Linked DNA regions of Xenopus tropicalis. The protein of the gene in region 1 purifies or fractionates together with the protein of each later gene. This does not show direct contact. Links are inferred from orthologs where the notes say so. Each region holds a gene or a part of one and is shown in the gene's direction. Other genes may lie near its edges.

Region 1 (6,702 bases):
CAGTGGTAAAATGTCCAAGTCTCACTTCAGATATACCCCAGAGAAAAGGTATTAAAAAAGCCTCATTAAAAAATTCTCTTTTTCTTTCATCCAAAAAATCTGCAACTTATATCTGTAAGATGTGCCCATTTGCTGCTTCTACTAGAAACAATTTAAAAAAACACATTGAATATGTTCATCAGTCATCTTCCCCTGATCACTTTAATGGTTCCCTTTTACAGAATTTCACAGATTCTGAACTTCTAAGTGTTGGTAAGGAAACAAAACACATTATAAAACCTTCCTCTTCATTTCCAAAGAATTCTGTCTTAAAACAGGATATGAAAAGCCATTATGGTTCTGTATCCCAAACAAACAGTTTTACAAAGTTGCATCGAAAGCACAAAATACAAAAAGCAAGGAAAAGTGCTGCTCAGTCTGTAGTTTGTAGTCCATCCATTTCCCCAAATAAATCCCTTCTCTTTACTAGCAATGACCAAAAACATAGGTATTATCAACAAATTACAAAACCGAAATATGCCAGAGCGAATCATGGCTACAGATACGGTCAGAATTTCAAAATGTTAAAGAAGTCTAATGATTTGTATCCATTAAATTTAAAAAAGGAAGATTCATCTAGTACTTTAGAGTTGCTTTCAGCATCCACTGATCTTCAGAATGATTGCTCGATTATAGATGCTGAGTCTTTACAGCCAAGGAAATTTGTTGCTTTTAAAGATCACAGGCGGGTAGCTGTAGAAAAGGTGCTTAAACCAGAAAATGAACATTCAGCCACTGAAGAAAGTTTAGACTGTTATCCAGATTTCCTTAAAAAAATGACTTTTGTTGTCCTGAAAAAACTTCACCCCTCTGAACAAAAAGATGAATATGATTCATGGGAAAATGATGAAATATATGAATATACAGAACCTCCTGATGGACCTTATAATACAGGAAAGCAATCAGTTTATCCTGTATTCAAGGAGAAATTGAACGATGAGCATGGTGATGAATCCACCCTGCACTATAATAGCAATGATGGTTTTTACTTTGAGTATTATGAAGATGGGGAGGGGGATGTATTTATACAAGACATGCCTGGTGCTAATCATCTTGAAAATGATGACTCTGTGCTGCAAGAGCATAGTGCTATATTCCATTGGAGTGATTTGTCTCTGGAAAAGAAAAATTGTCCTTATTGCCCTGCAACCTTTGAAACTGGGGTTGGACTGTCAAATCATGTTCGTGGGCATCTTCACAGAGCAGGATTGACGTATGAAGCTAGACATGTGGTGTCACCAGAACAGATTGCAACTAGTGATAAAATGCAGCACTTTAAGAGAACTGGAACACCAACGAAACGAGTTCGAAAAGGTATGAATGAACTTGACTGGAGTGTTTGAATGGATTGCCTTGATTTTTGGTTTATTTGTGGTTCCCCCAGTTTATAATGCATAATATATTAGATTTTACTATTTCCTAGAATTTACACCATTTTTTTCTGCACCTCTAAAAACAAGAAATGGGGGTGTTGTTCATTTGTAGTTTTCCTGATGACTAAATTGTCAGAATTTACAGGTACTCAGATACACTTCAACTACACCACTACACTTCACAAAATGTAATGTCTTTGCAAAACAGTTTCTTGAAGTAACTTTTGAGACATGGTATCTATTATATGTTTAAACTACAGCTTTCACTTTTTTAGTTCCTGTGTGTCTTCAGCTCATACATGAGCTGATCCCCTTGGTTCGCACTCATTCGTTGAACATGTGGTTGCAAAGATTTTTCTTTCTGGCATAGGGCTGAACTTACAAATTAAAGGTAGACTGGAAGGAATTGGTCTTTTTGTGTAGCCCCTGTCAGTTTACATTAGAAGATAACTCCTCCAGCCATTCCATTGGGAGGCATTGGTAGATGAGATTTTCTGCCCAGGCTGACCAGTTCTTCTCTGCATGGTAGTCTATTATAAACCTGCCTTCCAAGCTTTCCGCACAGAGTAATGTTTAAGTAATTTCGCTCCTAACATTGTCACTGAAGAGAAAAAAGAAAAACCTTTAAAAAGGTTTATGTACTTAAAAATTAAAAAGGACTGTTATGATACTTTTATGTTGTAAGTAGAGGAAAAATGTGTGTTTTATGCTTGTATACAGTCCAAGCTGTATACTCTATCCAAGCCAAACATTACTGCCTGGGTACCATAAGATAAATAATGTAAGCATAAGGCGATATTACTAGAAACTTGAAAATATATTTTATAAAAAGAAATGTTATTCTACAAGTTAAAGGAATTGTTTTGTACTGCGGGGCCTTAGTCAGGGTTAACAATCTATCAGCCCTACCCTGGGGCCTTTGTTTGTGGCACCCTCATGAAGGCTCAAAAATAGGGTGCAATTTTGTTACTTACTAATGCACTAGCTTTTTGAATACATTTTTTTGTTCTAGTACTGAGTTGTGCCTAGTGTGTGTGCTTTAGTAGTCACACCCTTATATTATCCTGGTTTAACAACAAAAATAATAAACATAGACTTCTAATTTACTTCTTAGTAGACTGCTAAATATTTTGAAACAAATGTAATGTAATGTTTGTTTTCATGCTGTTTTTTTAGCAATAGAAAAATCAGAAAGTCCGTCCGAACATACCTGTGCACTGTGTGGAGGATGGTTTGATACTAAAATCGGATTATCAAATCATGTTCGTGGGCATTTAAAAAGAATTGGCAAAACTAAGTGGGATGCAAACAAGTCACCAATCTGTGTTCTTAATGAAATGCTGCAAAATGAAGAAAAATATGAACAAATATTGAAAGCACTGAGTAACAGACGTCCAGTTCACAAACCATTTATAGCTCAGAAACCTTCCAGTAACAATTCAGCTAGCACTGCTTTGCCTCTTGAAGCTCGCCATAATGGCTTAAAGCTTGGAGCAACATCAGATGTAGAGGGATTGCCTTTATCAAATGAATGTAATAAGGCAAACATTGATGCTGACAAAGATCAACCCTTTTCACTAATTGAACTGCTTAAAATGAAAAGATTGGGTCAAGGAAAGAATGTAGAACATTCCGCTCAAAAGATCAGTCAAACTGCAAGAAAAAGGTTCATTCAAAAATGCCTTCATCCACTAAATGAAGACTGTTCGTCGATGTGTAATCAGCACAAATCAATGGACTATGCTATGCATGCAGGTAATTTTTTTTTTTTAAATTAACCATTGGCATATCCCATAAGTTTTTTTTTTTTTACCAGTTTAAATTCAACTTTCTGTAGTTTTTCAGAGCTGCTGTGGGAGAAGAAGGTAGTTAATCACATTACCGGTTCACAGATAAACCCTTTTGTATAATGGACTATTTTCCAGTATCCCTTCTGCAGGCTTTGAGAAGTTTTTTTTATGCAGAATTCATTTTCTCAAATTTAAACAAACTCTTCTGATTACAACGGGTGAAAAGGAAGGTAGTAAAAGTAAAAACTGAACTTTGATCAATTAGCGCTTTATAATAGAAAAAATAGGCAGAATACATTTTTGATGCCAAGTCCTATTTATTGCTTTCACGTTGAACAAAGAAGGCAGTCAACTTGCTATAGAAGTGTCCAAGGCAACAAATAAAGCACATTGTTTCACCCTGGCTTTTAGACTCCCCACAAACTGCGCAGACTTGTGGCTTTAGCAAGCTAAAATATTTTTATTTCATCTACAGTTCTGTTCAGTTTTTGGCTTTGTAATTACAGAATCTGTTAAAGTAGGAACAGAAAGCTGTAGAATAAATCAAAGATAGAGATAGTAAATCAAATGTTTAGAAACTAGAAATTCTACTTTATTCCAAATTAACAAATTCTTGTTTTGTTAACTTCAGAGCTGATTTTTTTCCTTCTTTGATAAGTAAAACTAGTTTGTTGATCATTTGCTTTGCACAAAGAATTTTGCAAGAAACTTCAGATCATTAACTTTCATTACTGCTTGCGCATCCAGAGTAATGAATATAAAAGGCATTGAATACAATGTTTTGTTTAACAGCTGTTTGGTGCTGTGTTTTACCACCTTTTCTCCCAGCCTTCATCAGCAGCCTAATTTAGTACAGAGCCTTTTACAGTCTTGTGGGTAAAACACTTTAATTACCACAGTGTCAACTAGAGTTTTTATTCTGTTCAGAGTAACAGGAAGCTTAAAAAAAATCTATATATGTATATAGTTTATAACAGGTTGTCTTTTGGGCATTGCATTTTAAGTTGAAATTAGCAGAAGTTTTAATGTTTATTGCTGCTACATACATATGTAGTTCTCTCTATATAAATTAGGTTTTTGGTGATACCTTATTATATACTTTAGGGCATGGCTGTCCATCTGGAAACCCACAGTTTTGATGCTGCTATTCAAGCTGTTTCATGCCTGCAGCACGCCTATGGGCTCCAAAAGACAGTATTTTTTTATGGAGGCATGGGACCTATTATCCAGAATTCTCAGGACCTGGGGTTTTCCAGATAAGGGATCTTTCCATATTTTAAATCTCCATACCTTAAGTCTACTAAAAAATCATTTAAACACTTAATAAACCCAATAGTATTGTCTTGCTTCTAATAAGAATTATATATTAGTTGGGATAATGTGCAAGGTACTTTTTTGTTATTACAGGAAAAAAAAAATATTTAATATAAAATATTTTAATTTTTAAAAATTGAATTATTTGGTTATAATGGAGTCTATGGGAGATTGGCCTTTCCATATTTCGTAGCTTTTTGTCTAATGGGTTTCCAGATCTAACAAAAATATAATTGATCAGGTAATCAATACAGCAAGTAGGCTGTGGGTTTATCAACTAGATACTGTGCAGTTTGTACATCAACATGTATTTATAAAATGCCAACATATTCTGCATCATTTTAGAATAAATTGGTGTATACATTAGCTATATATTAAAAAAAAAAAACCATGAAACCAGTCACCAGTACAAGATGTAAAGAGGGCCCTCCCCAAAATAGCTTACAATCTTGCCATATTTCTCTGATCTAATCAGTCAACCCCTTCTGCTGATTGAAGAAAATTATGTTTATAGAAGTAAGCAGAGTGGCATCTATTTGAATGGGTAAACTTTAGGTCATATGGAGGGAGGTATATGAAAGAGTTTGTCATCGAGGAATCCGTTAAAAAGTATGATATACCTGAACCTCCATTACAAAATTAAATAATTTTAGTTGTTGGAGGCAAAGCACTGATAAATCTGTATATATGCTATCCCAGTCATAAAGCAAGACAGTATGTATGTATATCTTTATTTATAAAGCGCTACCTATGTACGCAGTGCTGTACAGTTGTATATATGTTGTTTGCTAGAAAGCACATAGCAGCATACATATGAGATAATGGATGCCTTTATGCAAGCATGAAAAGGTTTACAAACATTATAAGTTGTTTTCTGGCAGAATTAAAAAAAAAAAAAAAAAACTATATAAAAAGGGCCAAAAGCAGGTCAATAAGTATGCTTTTTGATGAGCCGATGGCTAAATGGAGAGACTTCCTTACTATTATTCTGGATAACATCAGCAAGTAAAAAGGAGCACCACACACTAGCCAACATGGTGTATTGGCAGGTGAAATGAGACCTTTCTGATGACTGAAACAACCAATATCCATAGTACTATGGATATTGTTCTGCATTGGTGGGTCATCATACATGTGCCAATAATTGTTTTGTTTTGTACAATGTTTCTGGTAGGTATATGGCCAGTATGAAAATGTTCGTGCATTCAGGTTCACAAGACCATTATTGTAAAATGTTGGGCAGTATTTGAAAACACATTCTTTCATTGTTGCACTTGGTAGTTAATTTGAGGGTTTTACTGTTAGGGAATTGGCACATGGAACAAATCAGAATGCCTTGTAGGCCAAGTGGTTTCCAGCTGAGCAGGCGAGTGATAAAAAGATCTGAAATGCCACTCATTTGTTTAAGTTTCAACAGGCCATGCCTGCATTAGTTAGCAATTTCAAGTAGCATTCTGGGGTGATTCTGAGTATCTTGTCTCTTACCTGCTGAGCTAAAAATCCCTTAGGCAAAAAAAAAAACTAATTTGCCTTGTGTACCCTTAACCTTCAGATGCTTTGGCTTAAGTGCAAAGATGAAATCATGTGCCATGGAACTTGCAATGCCATCTCCTTACGTAAAAGTGTCAATGGGTTAGTTTAACATGTTGCCTTGACATGTATATTGACACTCCTAACTGGGTTATGCATAAGGCCACATTACAAAACCCTGACTGATAGCTGATTAGGGTTCCATCAAGTATTGGGAAAGTTAGAAAATTTTGTACTGCAAAGACTATGCTCCTCTCCTAATAGGTGTAATTTTGTACCCCTTTGTCACGGTGGCTAAATTAGGTAATGATTAGATTGTTTGGCCAATGTAGGGCGAGCTTCACTTTATGCAAGACTAGTACTTACAAGTAACAACATTGCTTAGGGAAAATTTTTGTTGTTTTCAAATAAAACTTTATAAATTAAGGACAAATATTCACATATTTTATCCATTGATGTCTATCCTTTCTAATGTAGTCAATATAATACCTTAATTCTGTACAGAATTCAAGCAAAAGAAATCAAGATCAAGGTCTGGAAGTAAGAAGAAAGGATTAGCAATGTCTCATGGTGCTGATGAGGTTTACATCCTAAGATGCAGGTAGTTCTTTCAAACAGGTTTTAAAATTGTTTTTTTTTTTACCTACATTTGAAAA
Region 2 (7,370 bases), on another chromosome or scaffold:
AGTACAACACTGCATAATCTATTAGCAGAATTTAAAAAATGTTTTATTAGAGAGAAAAAAAAACGCAAATTTTCAATATTTTTAAAGATAAAAAATGTGAACTCAGATGTAAAACTTTTGCATCTAGAAAGCTTGCAAGGTCACAGAAATAAATGGTAGCTATCTTGGGCAAACTATTTTTTACATACAAGGTTTTGACATTCGCACAAATTACACAAATGTAAGTTTTGATAAATTACCCCCTTAGTTTGTTCTGTCAAAAATATTGCTCGTTTTAGAAACAATATTTTTTAATGCATTGAATCCATCATTTTTGGCCAAATACCTAATCTTCCAAGAAAAATTTATTTTTGACCAAGGCCCAAGCGATTGTAATTTTCAGTTTGTGAATTAAAATTTAAGGGAAAAATATTGCATCAATTATGAACAAAAAAAACCTTGTGTTTAAAGTCATGTGACCAAAATCCTTGATTCGCTGCATACCTGTGGAATTTCTTGGAGGGCTTTTGGGGAATATTTTGAACAAAGTGAAACCTATTGGAATAACAGGAGTTGCAGTGGACATAATAAATCTACTGAAAATAACAATGTGAGGTGGGTAGCCAAAAGCTAAAGATACTAGTCCTTTATAATTGAAAGTGGCTAAAGTTGCCTTTTCAGGGCTTTTTATTCAGTCTGTGACTATGATTACAGACCAATCAGGAGACACTTTAACCCACAGGTAAAGTGAATTGCCACTTAAAGTGATCCCCACAGTGAGATAAGGAGTTGTGTGATAAAGAGCAATGGATCACGGGACTCGGCACTACTGGAATGGTGAACGATTATGTGTGCAACCCAATGGCTGGGATGAAATATATGGCCACCGGGGAGAACAGCACTACCTCAGAGTAAAAGAGTCCTAAAGGTAAGGTCTGTTGAAATTAACTGGGGTAAGAGGCATAAGCAGTGGCACCATAAAGGAATACTGCACCATATGCTGTCAGTTTAGCCATCATTAAGATGGCAGAGGGAAAGAGAGCCTCATTAGTTATGAGAACTTGGGTATTCTAAGCAATCCCACAAAACTAGGGGACAATATAGGAACTGAGACTGTACTTGCTGGTGGGTCTGGATTATTCTGATCAGCAATCAAGATATGTGTTGGTGCCCACTATATTCCTGGATGAACTGGATTTTTTTCTGTATTACCTTTCCTTCTTCACTGATGAACTTTATCAATTGCTTGTATGTGTTAAGCTGTTGATTGGGACATTCATGATTTTATTAAATTTTGTATAATCTTCTTTAATTGTGAGTACAATTTTAAGTAATATATAATTTTATTTTTTTGTTTTTTTAATATACTGGTTGGTGATGGTAACTGTTGGTTTATTGCATTAAATATATACTTGAACTGTACTTTATTATATTTAAGTCAGTTTATGAATATGTATCACGTAAAGATCCACTGAACATTATAGGCTGGGTGGGGCATTGTTTAGACAACACATAAAAGACTGCAACACAGTGGAGCTGACGGCAAACACTGGAATTAAATAAAAGGCTTGAAGTCAGATTAATCATGTTTAGGGTTATTGGTCCTTTGAATTAAGTTGTCTTCATTTTTCAATAATTTCAATTAATTTTTCAATCAATTCAATCAAATGCTTAAATACATTTGCCTATTTTTTTTTATAATAAATAGGCCTGTTGGTAGTGCCCATACAGATGCGCTGCTAAATTGGTCTGAAATTGGCAACTTAAATAGGCATGTGTATTGTTACCTTTAGTCTAGAAAATCAGAAGCCCCAAGAATAGAAGGGCAATGGCAAACCAAAACTACTTTAGTTGAAAGAAAATATTCCAGGTCCCCAAACATACCATGAAATAGGGTCCTGATTGTATCAGAGAATGACTTTAATGCTTGGCTGTTGACCATAGAAAGCAGCTAATTGGCTTTGAGGGCACCTATATGCACAATGGGTTACTAACTAGCAATCAGTTCTGCTAAAGGTGCTGATGCTTTGCAACTGCCAGAGGGATGCTGTGGTACCTACTATATTGGCACCATAATACCTAGCTAAGGGATTTTACTTGTCATTTGTTAGATCCTCAAGAACTACAGTGACCACTGGCTGGAAGATGTCACCTCCCTCCAAAGAGACCATTGTAAATTGGCAGTCCTTGGCAGCCATTACTGTGGCCAACTTAGTTTCCCAATGAGCCTCTTTCCACAGAAGTGTAACTCATGGGATGCTTACTTCTTGCTCCTGATATAGTGCCAGTAGCAATGAAATTGGCACCCAGTCAGGGAGCTGCCCTACCAATCTCTTCCCTCCACACCACCCAAACCACATGGCTGCAGCACTGAGAACCCAGCACCACGTGACCAAACCCATAATAGTGCCGGTGGCGAAGGGATACCAAGAACACCGCGCATTCCCACTGTAATTTTTCTGTCTTTGAAGTATCCGTCCGCAAAAGGCGCCCCCTAGCGGTGAGAGGGAGATTATCTTGGTGACCCGATTTTCTCTTTCACCCCCAAATTCCTGCTGGACAAGATCCCCTTTGTGCATGCCCATCTCCCCGGTCCCCAGGTGCGCGGCTGCAGTGGAGTATTTGTTTTTTCCCGGGCTCCCGCCAGCTCCGGACAATGAGTCCCCCCACCCCTCCTTCATGCTAATGAGCGCTGACGTCACTTCCGCTCCTTCGCGGCCGCCATTTTGGCCAGGGCAGGATCGGAGCCGCTGCCGCCGCCGTGCTGTATTGTCTGCAGGAGGAGGAAGTGCACCCGGCGGAGTCACAGCTGCAGCCACCGGCACCGGGAACTGACTCCACCCCCTTCCCACACACAAACACGGGGCTCATGCTCAGGCGCATTGCCTGGCACCCCCATATCCCAAGGGGCCATAGGCTGCCCACCGCCTCGGGCTGACAAGCAACCCCCCGGCTCAGGTATGTCTGGGGCCGTGAGCGGCGTAATGGTTACAGGGTGGGTATGTTGGGGTGCATCTTCTCATGAAGTCGGAGTGCCTAACGTGAGGTAGAACTAGAACTCCCAGATCCCCCCTATAGAGGATGATGGGATTTATAGTTCAGGAATTGGGGGGGGTGACAGGGGGTAGAGCAGAGCTAGTTACGGATAATAAAGTTACTGGTGGTGTGAGGAACAGATGGAAGTTATTAAGGATTGGGGAGACACTGAGGGCTGCAGGAAGTGCGGGGCACAATGGAGTTGGTGGAAGTGCAGAGAGTGTGAGGGACACAAATAGGGGATGGAGATAGTGTGGGGACAGATAGGCAGGCTGATGGGCCCAGTGGGCAGGGGGCATACCTGGCTATTGTACTGAGCACTCACATCTGTGCCGGGCAGCTCTGATTGGATGCGGATAATGATGGTTGTGGGGACAGACTTGTTACTTTGGGTGTAGGGATGGGGGAGGTGCCAGTATGAGTCCTGTTGCCCCCATTGCCACTAGCTGGGGTGCCCCAATGGGATGTGTGGGTGGGCACCCTGCTGCTGGGGAGTTCCAGCCTGACATGCAGTGCCGGTGGGAGCTCGGCTAGAGGGGTGCCGGGCATGGAGGGGCACAGGATCCGGCTGTGGGTGCAGCGGGGGGCATGGGGTTGGCGCTGCCATGCTACATAAATAGAACTTCGTATTGCGTGCAGTTATGAAGCCGGAGGGCCGTACCTCGGGCATCCCAGTGGCATGAAGGCAAAGGGTTAATATATGGGAGGGGGTGGGGATAGGGGCTGCCCCCACCCTCCCTTGTCTGGCTGCTTCTGCTGCAAAAAGGCGCGATCCTGTAGGAGGAACCTTTAAACCAGCATGCTCCCCTCTCCCCAGGTACACATGGGCTGGCCGGCGCTAGGGTTTAGCGGCAGGTGGGCTGCACCACTCCCCGTAGTGGGGGTCCATCACAAAGGCGCTCGATCCGAACTGCTGCCGGTGTTTTCCTGCGCTGCACATGGCCTGCTGTCACAGTGATGGCTTCGCATTAGTCATGCACTTTAGCGCTGTTTGTTTTCTCTATTTGCACGGCTGCGAGCTGTGGCAGGGGGGAAAAAGGGGAATAAAAAAAATAACAGGCAGCCTCCACCCAAGATGCACTGCAGCTAGAAAATGGCGCCTCACATTCCAGTAGGGGGCGCTTGCTGTGCGCCGGGTAAGGCGCTGGGGTGGGGGGATGGGTAGACTGAAGCAAAACTGGAAGCTGCTGCACAGCGCCTCCTATAGGTTTGGGAGTGGAATGCGGCAGGGCCCATGACAGCAGCATTATGCACTGCTTGTGCAGAGAGCCAGTGATTCACTCCCACATTCCCTAGGCCCCTCTGGTGCTTCTAGGTGCAGGCTCTAACTTATCCCTTGTTTGTTCAGGTTTTGCCCATCACTAGTGTAGAGCATGGATGCACTGCTTGGGACCTTCTGAGTGCTACAGTTCCCAGCATCTCTGCTAAAGGCTGCTAGTGATGGTTCAGCAACACCTTAAAAACTATACTTTGGATACCTGGGTATAGCCCCCCTGTCACAAAACTGACTTGTCAAATTGGTGCCTTTTCTTACTCATGGCAATTTACTTTACTCCTTGTGTCCATTAGGGCTATGCACCTCACATCAGATTATGCCAGCTAGTTATTTACCACTAACTTATCCCTTGTTTGTTCAGGTTTTGCCCATCACTAGTGTAGAGCATGGTATAGTGTATTCAATAACAACACCTTACCTTACTTTTAGCATTTTTCGGGTTCAACGTTTTGTGCAACTTGTGCAGAAACAGAACTCCCAAATTATAAAGAGGGTGGCCCTGGGAAGGGGGTGAAACATAACTGAACTGATAGACTAATGTATCAAAGCACTAACCCAGTAAGTGGCACTATAGAGGGGAAGAGTAGAATCAGAGGGTACTGTAGTTTTTAAGAAAATACCATGTGCTTAAAATTCAATCATTTTCTCTCTACAGGTGGATAAATTCATTGGCACTTACACTTTTTCCTTGGATTCCTATCTGCAGCACCTTGCACTGTGTGGGACATACAGCAACAAACTGGCGCTCGGATCATCATTTCAATCTTCCTTAACTTTATTTTGACATAAAAGGTTTGTTTTCATTTCTCCTTTCTACCTCTAAGCTTTTAGAAAAGAAGGATGGTAGTAAGGACTGTGTTTTTGCATGGCATGTTAGAGGACCCTGGAACCCATGGAGTGAAGTGTCTTTAGTAACCATCATTATTTATCAACTGTGTAACCATGCTTTAAAGTTAATTACTACTGAAAAACAGTTCTTTTGACTAATAAAAGAAAATATAACTTAACTTTTCAAAATACATGCATTCCTGATTTCATTAGTTTTAAAAGTTATGTGTAAATGTTATTAATGTTGAAAGCTGTATGTGTTGATCCATTTTTGTTCTGCGTCAGCCATCCTGCAGGTCTGTTACCAGCTAGTTTCTGCCACGTTTTTACATATGATAACCAGTAGTGCAGAGAATATAAACAGTCTGGTGTTGCCTGTGATAAGTTATGTTTTAACATAAAGGAGACACATACAAAGCAGAGTAAAATCAGAAAAGTTGACTCTGTTGCTCATGAGCCTGCCCCAGCTGCAGATTATTGTTAGTAATATCTGTGCATGGCTCTTGGGTTTTCATGGGGCAGTGCAATTGTTTTTCTGACAGGAACACCAACTGGGAAGCAAATCTAAGAATTCTGTTCACTGAGGTGTGTCTAACATTTTTGACATCCCCGGCAAATAGGTTTCCTTTCCTAAATGTTGCTTAGTATTACCTTTTACTTTCATTATGCACAACATGTTTTTTTGGTGGAGTTCCCCTTTAATGTACTGTATATGTAAGGCTTACTTGTTTCTGCCTGTTGGCTTTAGTCAGTGTCCCCTAACTAACACTGGTGAGGAGCATATGAAAATAATTCAACCCTTAAAACATTCCCTGTGTATAGCATACTAGTAACAGCCTTGCTTGTCTACATAGCCTGTCAGATGTGTCCTTATTTTTCAAAAGCCATGGAAACTGTAAATGGTTGGCCGGATATTTTATATAAAATTCTGTAAATACAAAGCAGCATGAACCCACAGCTTCAGCTTTGGATGACATCCTTTTACAAATTGGATATCTGGTCCAGCTTGTGGAAGCAACCCCGAACATCGCTTATGTCTGCAATATTGAAATCACCATGGTTAGGCAAAGCTAAAATGCTATAAGGAATATGTTTCTATATTTCGCCAACCTAATTTAGTAACAGTACATGTTTGTGTCACATCTGTACCCCTCAATATTTTGCCATAGGGCATCGGTTCTAGAGGCCCTTGTGCGTTTTTGTATGCTGAGGTCTCTGTGACTGACAGATGACATAATGAGTTTATTGCTGAGGCTTATTTTGGCAAAGTTAGCGGCACATTGTTGGCTCTTTGGTTTAGGACATGTACAGACTGGTGTCCTGTAGTTTGGTTAAGCTGTATAAGGCTGGAACACATTCCATGCACAGCAGATTCAGGGCTTATACTTTACCTTGTGATCACATGTAGGCCTGTGCTTAAGACAGGTTGACCATGCTCAAAAGGGGGAACTGTTGGTATTATTAAAAAGAAAAATCTTGTGACTGTGTAATTGTTATTTTACAAATAGTCTTATTTCTTACGGTTCATTATTATTTAAAGGTTTATCCCTGAGTTTCTCAACCCAACATCATTTTCTGCCTTGCAGTGCATTAATGACACAACATTGTTGGTTGTCTGAAGCAGACATGGTAGCTTGAGGAATCAGAAACATATATTTATATATGTGTGTGTTTATAATATATATATCCCAACCCCTTGTTAATCACAAAACCCTATATATGTGCATTTATATATGTGTGTGTGTGTATATGTTTGTGATCAAGAAGGGGTTGGCACAACACATTGGCACCTTGAACGGCCTAGGGTAGGAAAAATCTAGCCCCTCTCTGATAGCCCCATAACTATTGTTGACCCCTGCTTCAGAACATCATTTGAACCAAAACCCTAGATCAGCCTTGTATATGCTTGTGCAGAACACATACTTGAGGGCCATATAGTTATTTTTCATTGAATAGGATCTCAGCTGAGACTAGTTGGGTAGAAAATATACTTACACTTTACAAAGAAGTAATTTTAAGGATTATCGTTGTATTTATCTTCACTTTTATGGTGTGTATCCTACTGTATACAGCAGCCCAATAATAGGTAGGTAGAATCACATGGCTTTCATTCCCTTTAAAAAATAAAAGAAAATGAGATCTACATGGCACTTTCAGTGAATTTGCCTCCGTGTAGGCCATAACATGTTATTTTTTTGTTTTGTGTTATTAATGCTTTGTTGCAGTGCTAGTTTGTTCATTACAGGTTTTG
Region 3 (7,411 bases), on another chromosome or scaffold:
CCCATAATGTAGAGGCCCTTAATCTTACTGGACCAACGATGAAAGGTGGTTGGCAGTCCAAGGTCATTATTGGTGCTGAGGATTGCACATGGCTTTCTGCATTATCAGCACCATGGAAATCTTCTAGTTAATTATGCGCATGCATTGGGCTAGAACAACAGATGTGTGCATGTACCAAGCCTCAGAAACTGTTTTTGATAAAGTGATGTCTTTTTGTTTGTCTTAACTTCCCGTTAAAATTAAAAACCTGCTGCATTATTTTAAAGCACCTGTGAGATGGGATAAATCTTATTTTGTGGCTTTCCTTGTCCTTTAATGACATTAGCAGACACAGAATGTATGAATTTGGTGTTATTGGCGCCTTCCATCAGTTTGCTAGGAAGCTTAATTGGTGGTTTGCCACGGTTTTACAGCAAAATTCTGCAGTGCAATTGCACAAAATGTAAATGGTTTACATAAAGGAGAACAAGCTTGTTGCCAACAACAGTGTTAAAAGAAAAAGTGCATTAGTTATATACACCATTGCTTTACAGAAAAGTTGCATGGTTTATTCAGTTAAGAGTCATCTAGGTGACATTTGCATTGAACTTTTTATTCTGCTGGAGCGACCGCTATGCAAGAAGAGTTTGATAAATTGCGCAAAATTCTCTGGCCTCAGTTGCATGCAAAGTCTTTGCTTCAAAGGGCTCTCTTTGCATTTCTGTATAGTTGCACTTTGCACCACTCAGGCCTTCCTGTTCCATACTGAACGCAAATGTAATATTGATGCAGAGGAACCCTGGTGCTGCCATGTACGGACCAGGTGGTAGCTTCAGAGTTCCCTTTAGCACTCTGTGCCGCCTCAGGCATCCATGTTAATGCCGCCCCCTTGCGCTTAGCTTTGTTGCGTCAGTGGGGGGCTGCATTGCTAGTGCGGACAGCCGAAATTCTGATTTAAAAAACAGAAATTCAGCTCCTTAAAGGACAAGGAAAGGCTAAGTCACTTGGGGGTGCCAAAATGTTAGGCACCCCCAAGTGACTTTAATCGCTTACCTTGTACCCCAGGCTGGTGGCCCTGTTAGTAGAAAAGAGCAACGGCCAAGGGTACCTGTAGTGAGCGTTTCCTCCTTCCGGTTTCGTTTTGCAAGTACTACATGACAGGCGCATGCTCAGTAGAGTGAAAAAGCGACTTCTCTGTTAAAGTTCGGCTTTTCACTCTACTGCGCATGCGAAGATGTAAGGAGGAAGCGCTGCATCTACCTCGGGCTGGTGCTGTTCTCTCCGAACAGTGGCACCAGTCAGGGATAAAAGGTAGGCGATTTAAGTAACTTGGGGGTGCCCAACATTTTGGCACCCCCAAGTGACTTTGCCTTTCCTTCTCCTTTAAGTTACCAGGAGTGACTTTTGCTGCCCCTGGTAACTTGCCAGGCTCTGCCGTCTGAGGCGATAGGTGCAGGGGCACAGTTACTGTGAAGCGAGTTTAAAAACTCGCCTCAGGCAGCAGCACCCCCGAAGTTACCAGGGGAGGCAAATAGCCGCTCCTGACAACTTTAGGAGCCAAATTTCTGGTTTTTAAAAGGGAAATTTTGCTGCACTATAGCAGAGATTGCCATGGCACTCTCTACACTAGCGATGTGGCATGCCTGGACCCCCTCCCGTGCTGTAAAGGCATGGTAGGAACCTCCTCAGGTGGCTCAGGGGCAAGAAACACCCCTGGATAGGTGCAGTGCACTTGCATCTAGAGAATAGGTTCCTGACACTCTCATATTAAATGGACAGAATTTTTTTTAGCGCAATTGCATCTAATTTACAGCAAAGTTTGCCTGAAATTGCACTTGGCAGACTGCCCTGCACTTGTAAGCATAAATATTTTCTGTGTAGGTGATGTGACTGCTCAGCTGCCAGTGTATACCTAGAACGTCCAGATGATGAAACGCATACACTGGACAGACAGGGGAGTGCCTTCGTAAAATACACGAAAATGGCGGCCTAGTGAAGTGAAATATGTGTCAATGCCACATATTTCAAGCATTTTTTTTTTTTTTTTATTATTTGCAAACAAAACGACATGTATCAGTCAGACACCTACACGAGGAGCGACAGAGGCGGGCGGAGCCTGGGACCTACCTTTCAACACGTGACTCACTACTATTAAATATATAATTCGGGTTTTCTTTTATCATTAAGACCCTGACTTCATGGGCTCTTCAACTACACCCGTGTAGATTGTACCGGAATTGACATTAACTGCCCTCAAGGCAGGCTGTCCTATTTTGTCAGGGTGCCGCTTCCCTTAGACCCATGGTATTGAAAGAGTTACTGTTCGCGCCAGTAAATTCCCCGCCAGTGTGTTGGTAGGGCCCATTGTTCTGCGCGTCACTCGGGCCCTCCCACTCCTGCGCACATCGGAGCTGCAGGCAGCCGCGGCTTGGAGAGCGTTTCTCGGTGTGAGGGGGACGGAGCAGGAGTCACCGGGTGCTGGTTATCCAAAGAGAGTGAGGTACGGGGATGAGAGAGAGGAATGTTGTACCCGGGGGCATGAGGAGGGAGAGGAGCAGCATGGGAGAAGCACGGCCCGGCAGGGTTGGGGAGGCGGGAAAATTGCTGCTAGTTTGGGAGAGAAGCGGAGGCCTGCTGCAGAGTAGCAGCACAGACCAATGGGTGGGAGGCATTGTGTAAGGGCGGGGAGGCCGTTCTGCAAACATACTGCCTTGTCTTCAATTGCTGCTCACCGCTACCTGGGCTTGTTGGGAGCTGTAGTTCAACGGCAGAAAAAGTCACAACTTTCTATTTCACGTATATATCTTGCCGAATGAAGAGCGGCCCCCTAGCACTTATATGACGCTAGCAGTGTTAGTGGTATTCCGCCAGTATTCCCATGCCCGGTGCAGCGCACAGTAACTCTCACATAGTGCTAGGATGGATACCCCCTGAGTTTCTCTGTATCACTGGGTTTCTTTACAATGAAGCTAATGCTGTTCGGTACGGGGGGTGCGCAGGCGCGAAGGTTCGTGGCCTCTAGGTGGTTAGTAGGGAAAGTAAAGGGTATACAGGGCAATGGCTACCCGGGCTGGACAATCATAGGGAAAGCTCGGTGCCGCTGGTTATAATGGTTTCCAACTGTGCCATGCAGTTTCCCCTGCGACAGTCTAATCTCTAGTTTCCGTGAATGTGTGTTCCTCATCTCCCTCCGGAATACATTCGGTTAATCAATCATGTTGCGGCTCATTCACATGTACGCATGCGTGTTGGAGGGGGTGGGGGATGCTTTTGCTTTCCGGCTTGGGAGGTGAAGCGGCGTAAAACTTTATCTGGATGCACGTTGCGCAGAGCTGCTTTCACGCTAATGTTGTATGGGGGGGCGGGGGGGTTATGGAGTCTCGCACGGCAGTCACAGCAGAAAATTCCTGCCTTTGTTTCTGGTATGGCAGAATTTCGCCTCACGGCAGACCGCTTTCTCATTTCAAGGGACAGTGTATCCCGTGTTTATAGGATTGGCTTAGTGATAAGGGCGTGTGCTGAAAGGAGACTTATCATAACAAATTAAGAATGTACTAGTGAATTATACTTTAAATATAGAAGGATTGTGCTTTAAAATAGTTGTTTCAGACTGATTTATTGAAACATTATACACAGACCCCTCTAGTCCCGCCCATCTGTTCCACTTCCTGCAGGCTGAAATCTCTGGATGTGCAGGGGAACCACTGGCTCTTGGCACACTGCACTGTAGGATAGGAACCTACGCTAGGCGGACCCAATAGGGAACTGAAGTATGTCTTTGCTTGTGAATTCAACTGTTAGGATACTCCCGCCCTTCATTTGAAGCACAGAAGACTGATAGGATCTACATGGAGCTCCAGTAAAGGAGACCTTTTTACAGATAGGATTAATTTTTAGCCCGAAGTGACACCAGCACCATATAGTATTCATAAGTGCCTACAAAATTAGGGGTTTTTCCACTTATCCAATGTCTCATTGAACTTCATTTTTCCCTGTGTTAATTATTTATATTGTTTTATTCTTCTTTGCACTAAACAGGCCAGAATCTTCAGGTAGTCACTTAGAGGTGTTTAGATTAGTCCTTTTTCTGGAGCAATGAATTGCCTTTTGAGTGCTGAACCTGTTCTAATAATCAAATGAAAAACCAGTCTCTTAAGGTTTGGGATAATACCCCATAGTTTCCAGTGAAATTAAATCTCAAGAAAACCTAATTGACAGAGGTTAGGTTTTTATTTTTATCTCTGGAATAAAAATGTGCCAGCCTAGAGCTCTTTAAGTAGCAGTGATACCACAATACTGCACTTTTCCCTGGAATTCCTAGTGTAAACAGACTAGCACAAGCACGGTATACTACCATTGGAAAATTTTTATTAAACTGGACATGTGCAAGTTTGTGCTAGGAATCCTTGGGTAAAGTCTGGCACTTTTTGTGAGAATAGTTGGCCAAAGAAATAATTTTCTAACTTATTGGCACCCTTGTGCTTTAACATTATAACTTACTACATAGCAGGGAGCTAGCACCTAATTGTAAGCATAATACAGTTTGTGTTGGGATAATTTTGATAAGGCTGTGAAAAAGTGGTGCATATTGTCTTTGGAATGGTGCTCACAGTATTAGGGGCTGTTCCTTTACAGAAGAGGAGTGTTTCTATTAGGTTAGGTAGGATCAAGCATAGCAGCTATCAGTGGGCAGTGCTGGCACGGTGTGTACTGTGCTAAGAACTTGTACTGTATGTAATCAGGGAGCAGGAGGCTGGAAATTCTCTCATGTGACCAACAGTCTGAAGTGCCATTTTACACTAATGTTAACAGGAAAGTTTGAAATGGAGAGTACTAATTGCATATACAATTATTGGTTTATATTGATAACTACTGTATTAATAATGCATGTCTTGTAACATATGTTTCTGATATCTAAATGTCTCTTAAAGGGGTAGTGCACCCCAGTGAATAGGGCTTGTGCCAAATGCACTTCTATCTTATTTAAGAAAAACATTCTTGTGATTTCTTGTAGTAAACTGGCACAATCTAAAACAAAGTTGCATTCTACTTCCTGGCTGTATAATTAAGGTCAAAACAGATCTGCGTTCTACTGCTGTTCCTTATCTCTGTCTTACAGGCTGCAGCTGGGCAAGGAATCTTAGTGGGCAACTGATTTGTTTTGACCTTGATTGTAGGGACGGGAACTTTGAATGAAAGGGAACCCAAATGAAAATATCTGCTTTTGTTTTGTGCAAGAAATCTCAATTGTACCAACTAATTGCCCTGCATGTCTTTGCCCTTAAGTTACTTATTCTGCCACAGGCTAGCTGCAGTGAGTCAGACCAGATATAGTCTGTCTGGCTTTAGGCCACAAGGAATTTATTCAACTTAGTGTATGCCTTTTATAGAAAGGCTGCAACTGCAATGGGACCTATATGTAATTCATTAAGCATGCATTTTGTGCATGTTTATCTTAAAGGGGCTGTTTACTTTCCAAACACACTCGAGCTTAGTTTTTTTCTGGTGTACTATGTGAAAACGCTTGAACTGAAATCTGTTTGGAAGGCAAACAGCTTCTTTTTAAAATTGTTTTAGTTATAAACTGATGTGTGGTTAAAAATTTCTACATGCTGTCAGGACCTGATAATGGCTAGACCTTAAAGATGCATTGCATGCTAAAATATGTAACTTTGCTGTTGATGTAGCAGATGTGAGTGTTAACCACCATTTGTACTTGTGAACATTCATTTGTAGAAACTGTTTTTGATTTATAGGTTTGTTTATTTTTGCTGGGCTAATAATCCTAGCAGCCAGGCAGTATTTTGGAAGTCAGAAGTAAAGATGAAGAGTGGAGGACTTCCACAATTAGAAATTAACATGGTAACAATCTGATTTCTAGCTTCTATTTCTAGTATATTATATAGCATATGTGAAGGACTTATGTTGTAAGACAGGCAGTATTGTTTTGAGGGGGGGGGGAGCATCCCTCTCTTTGAGGGCATAAACAATATTACGTGTGCACTTTAGTTTGACATACATACATTATTGTCAAGCAATTATCTGGTTTCACCTTTTAAATAAGTTCTTAAGTGTCCCTTAACTTTAGTGCTCTAATGCTTTCTATGTTAAAGGGAAAATATACCTTATTCTTGACATGTAGAATAAGTAGTATCTGAACTTTCAAATTGTAATAAAATAATATATTTATATTTACAGACATCACCTTTCATTAGGAGGTGATTAATTCTGCAAATTGAAGTCCCTCTGCTTTCCGTAGCGGGTGGTGCACATTCTCTGGGAAGCTGTGGGATTTTCGCAGAATCACTTCACAATGGAACAAAGATGGGTATATTTGCCCTTTAAGCCATTGGTCGAACTATTAAGATGTACTAAATTTTTTTTTTTTTTTTTTTAAATGTACCTTTTGAGTTTCCTTCTTACAAAATAGATATGTATACTTAACCAATATATATTTCTTTTTCCACAGACCATGGGAAAGAAACAGAATGGCAAGGGCAAGAAAGTGGAGGAAGCAGAGCCTGAAGAATTTGTTGTAGAAAAAGTTCTGGACAGACGTGTAGTAAATGGAAAGGTTGAATATTATCTCAAATGGAAAGGTTTCACAGAGTATGTAGTGTTAACATTCAACTTCTACCACAGCATTTTATTGATATTGAACAGTATTTAGAAATTTGATGAAAACATTTTTTAGTATTAGAGATGTTTTTTAAAGGAGAAGGAAAGGCTAAGTCACTTGGGGAAGCCAAAATGTTAACGTTGCTGCTGTTTGCCCCTGAAACTTTCAATAAAGGCATTTTAATTTAAAATGTAAGAGGTGCTGTTCCGGATCGTTTGTACCTGGATATGCCGATGGAATGTGGCCATTGGGAAACCTGCACTGTTACAAACTAAATACAAGGTGTTGTGCTGACTACTACTTCCAAAGGTGCCAAAATGTTAGGCACCCCCAAGTGACTTTAATCGTTTACCTTTTACCGCACCAGCCCTGGGTACCTGCAGTGAGCGCTTCCTTTTTCCTTCTGCCGGGAAAATCCCTGGGCCGGTGCATGCACAGTAGAGTGAAAAGCAGACTTCTTTGTCCAGCTTTTCACTCTACTGCGCAAGCGTGCGAACCAGGAAGAGGAGATGCTCGCAGGTTCGGTTCTCTCCTAACAGGGGCACCAGCCCGGGGTAAAAGGTAAGCAGTTAAAGTCACTTGGGGGTGCCTAACATTTTGGCACCCCCAAGTGACTTAGCCTTTCCTTTTCCTTTAAGTTTTCTTTGCATGTTGTAAGTAACTGGAGTGTTCCTACAAGCAAGGGTTAGTAGGCACACTCGCCTGTGTTATTGCCACCCTTATAGCTGAAAGTTAAAGGACATGTAAAGCCTACATTTACCTACAATGTATATCAGTTGGGCACGTCTCCCCCACCCAAATGGCATCATTTGT

The links.
Region 2: the proteins of znf644 (region 1) and adnp purify together in Homo sapiens (affinity purification with mass spectrometry; 3 studies listed by BioGRID and IntAct, with this or other methods). This does not show direct contact. The link is inferred for Xenopus tropicalis from reciprocal best matches to the Homo sapiens genes ZNF644 and ADNP.
Region 3: the proteins of znf644 (region 1) and cbx3 purify together in Homo sapiens (affinity purification with mass spectrometry; 3 studies listed by BioGRID and IntAct, with this or other methods). This does not show direct contact. The link is inferred for Xenopus tropicalis from reciprocal best matches to the Homo sapiens genes ZNF644 and CBX3.

The regions. Positions count from the first base shown.
Region 1 is NC_030680.2:105,030,485-105,037,186, forward strand, and holds part of znf644 (zinc finger protein 644), read left to right. Parts: coding exon 1-1,353; intron 1,354-2,588; coding exon 2,589-3,167; intron 3,168-6,550; coding exon 6,551-6,647; intron 6,648-6,702.
Region 2 is NC_030686.2:35,648,378-35,655,747, forward strand, and holds the start of adnp (activity-dependent neuroprotector homeobox protein), read left to right. Parts: upstream 1-2,608; 5' UTR 2,609-2,937; intron 2,938-3,734; exon of another isoform or gene 3,735-3,832; intron 3,833-4,946; 5' UTR 4,947-5,083; intron 5,084-7,370.
Region 3 is NC_030682.2:41,662,330-41,669,740, forward strand, and holds the start of cbx3 (chromobox protein homolog 3), read left to right. Parts: upstream 1-2,433; 5' UTR 2,434-2,479; intron 2,480-3,327; exon of another isoform or gene 3,328-3,351; coding exon of another isoform or gene 3,352-3,401; intron 3,402-5,735; coding exon of another isoform or gene 5,736-5,841; intron 5,842-6,277; exon of another isoform or gene 6,278-6,292; coding exon of another isoform or gene 6,293-6,307; intron 6,308-6,448; coding exon of another isoform or gene 6,449-6,451; coding exon 6,452-6,588; intron 6,589-7,411.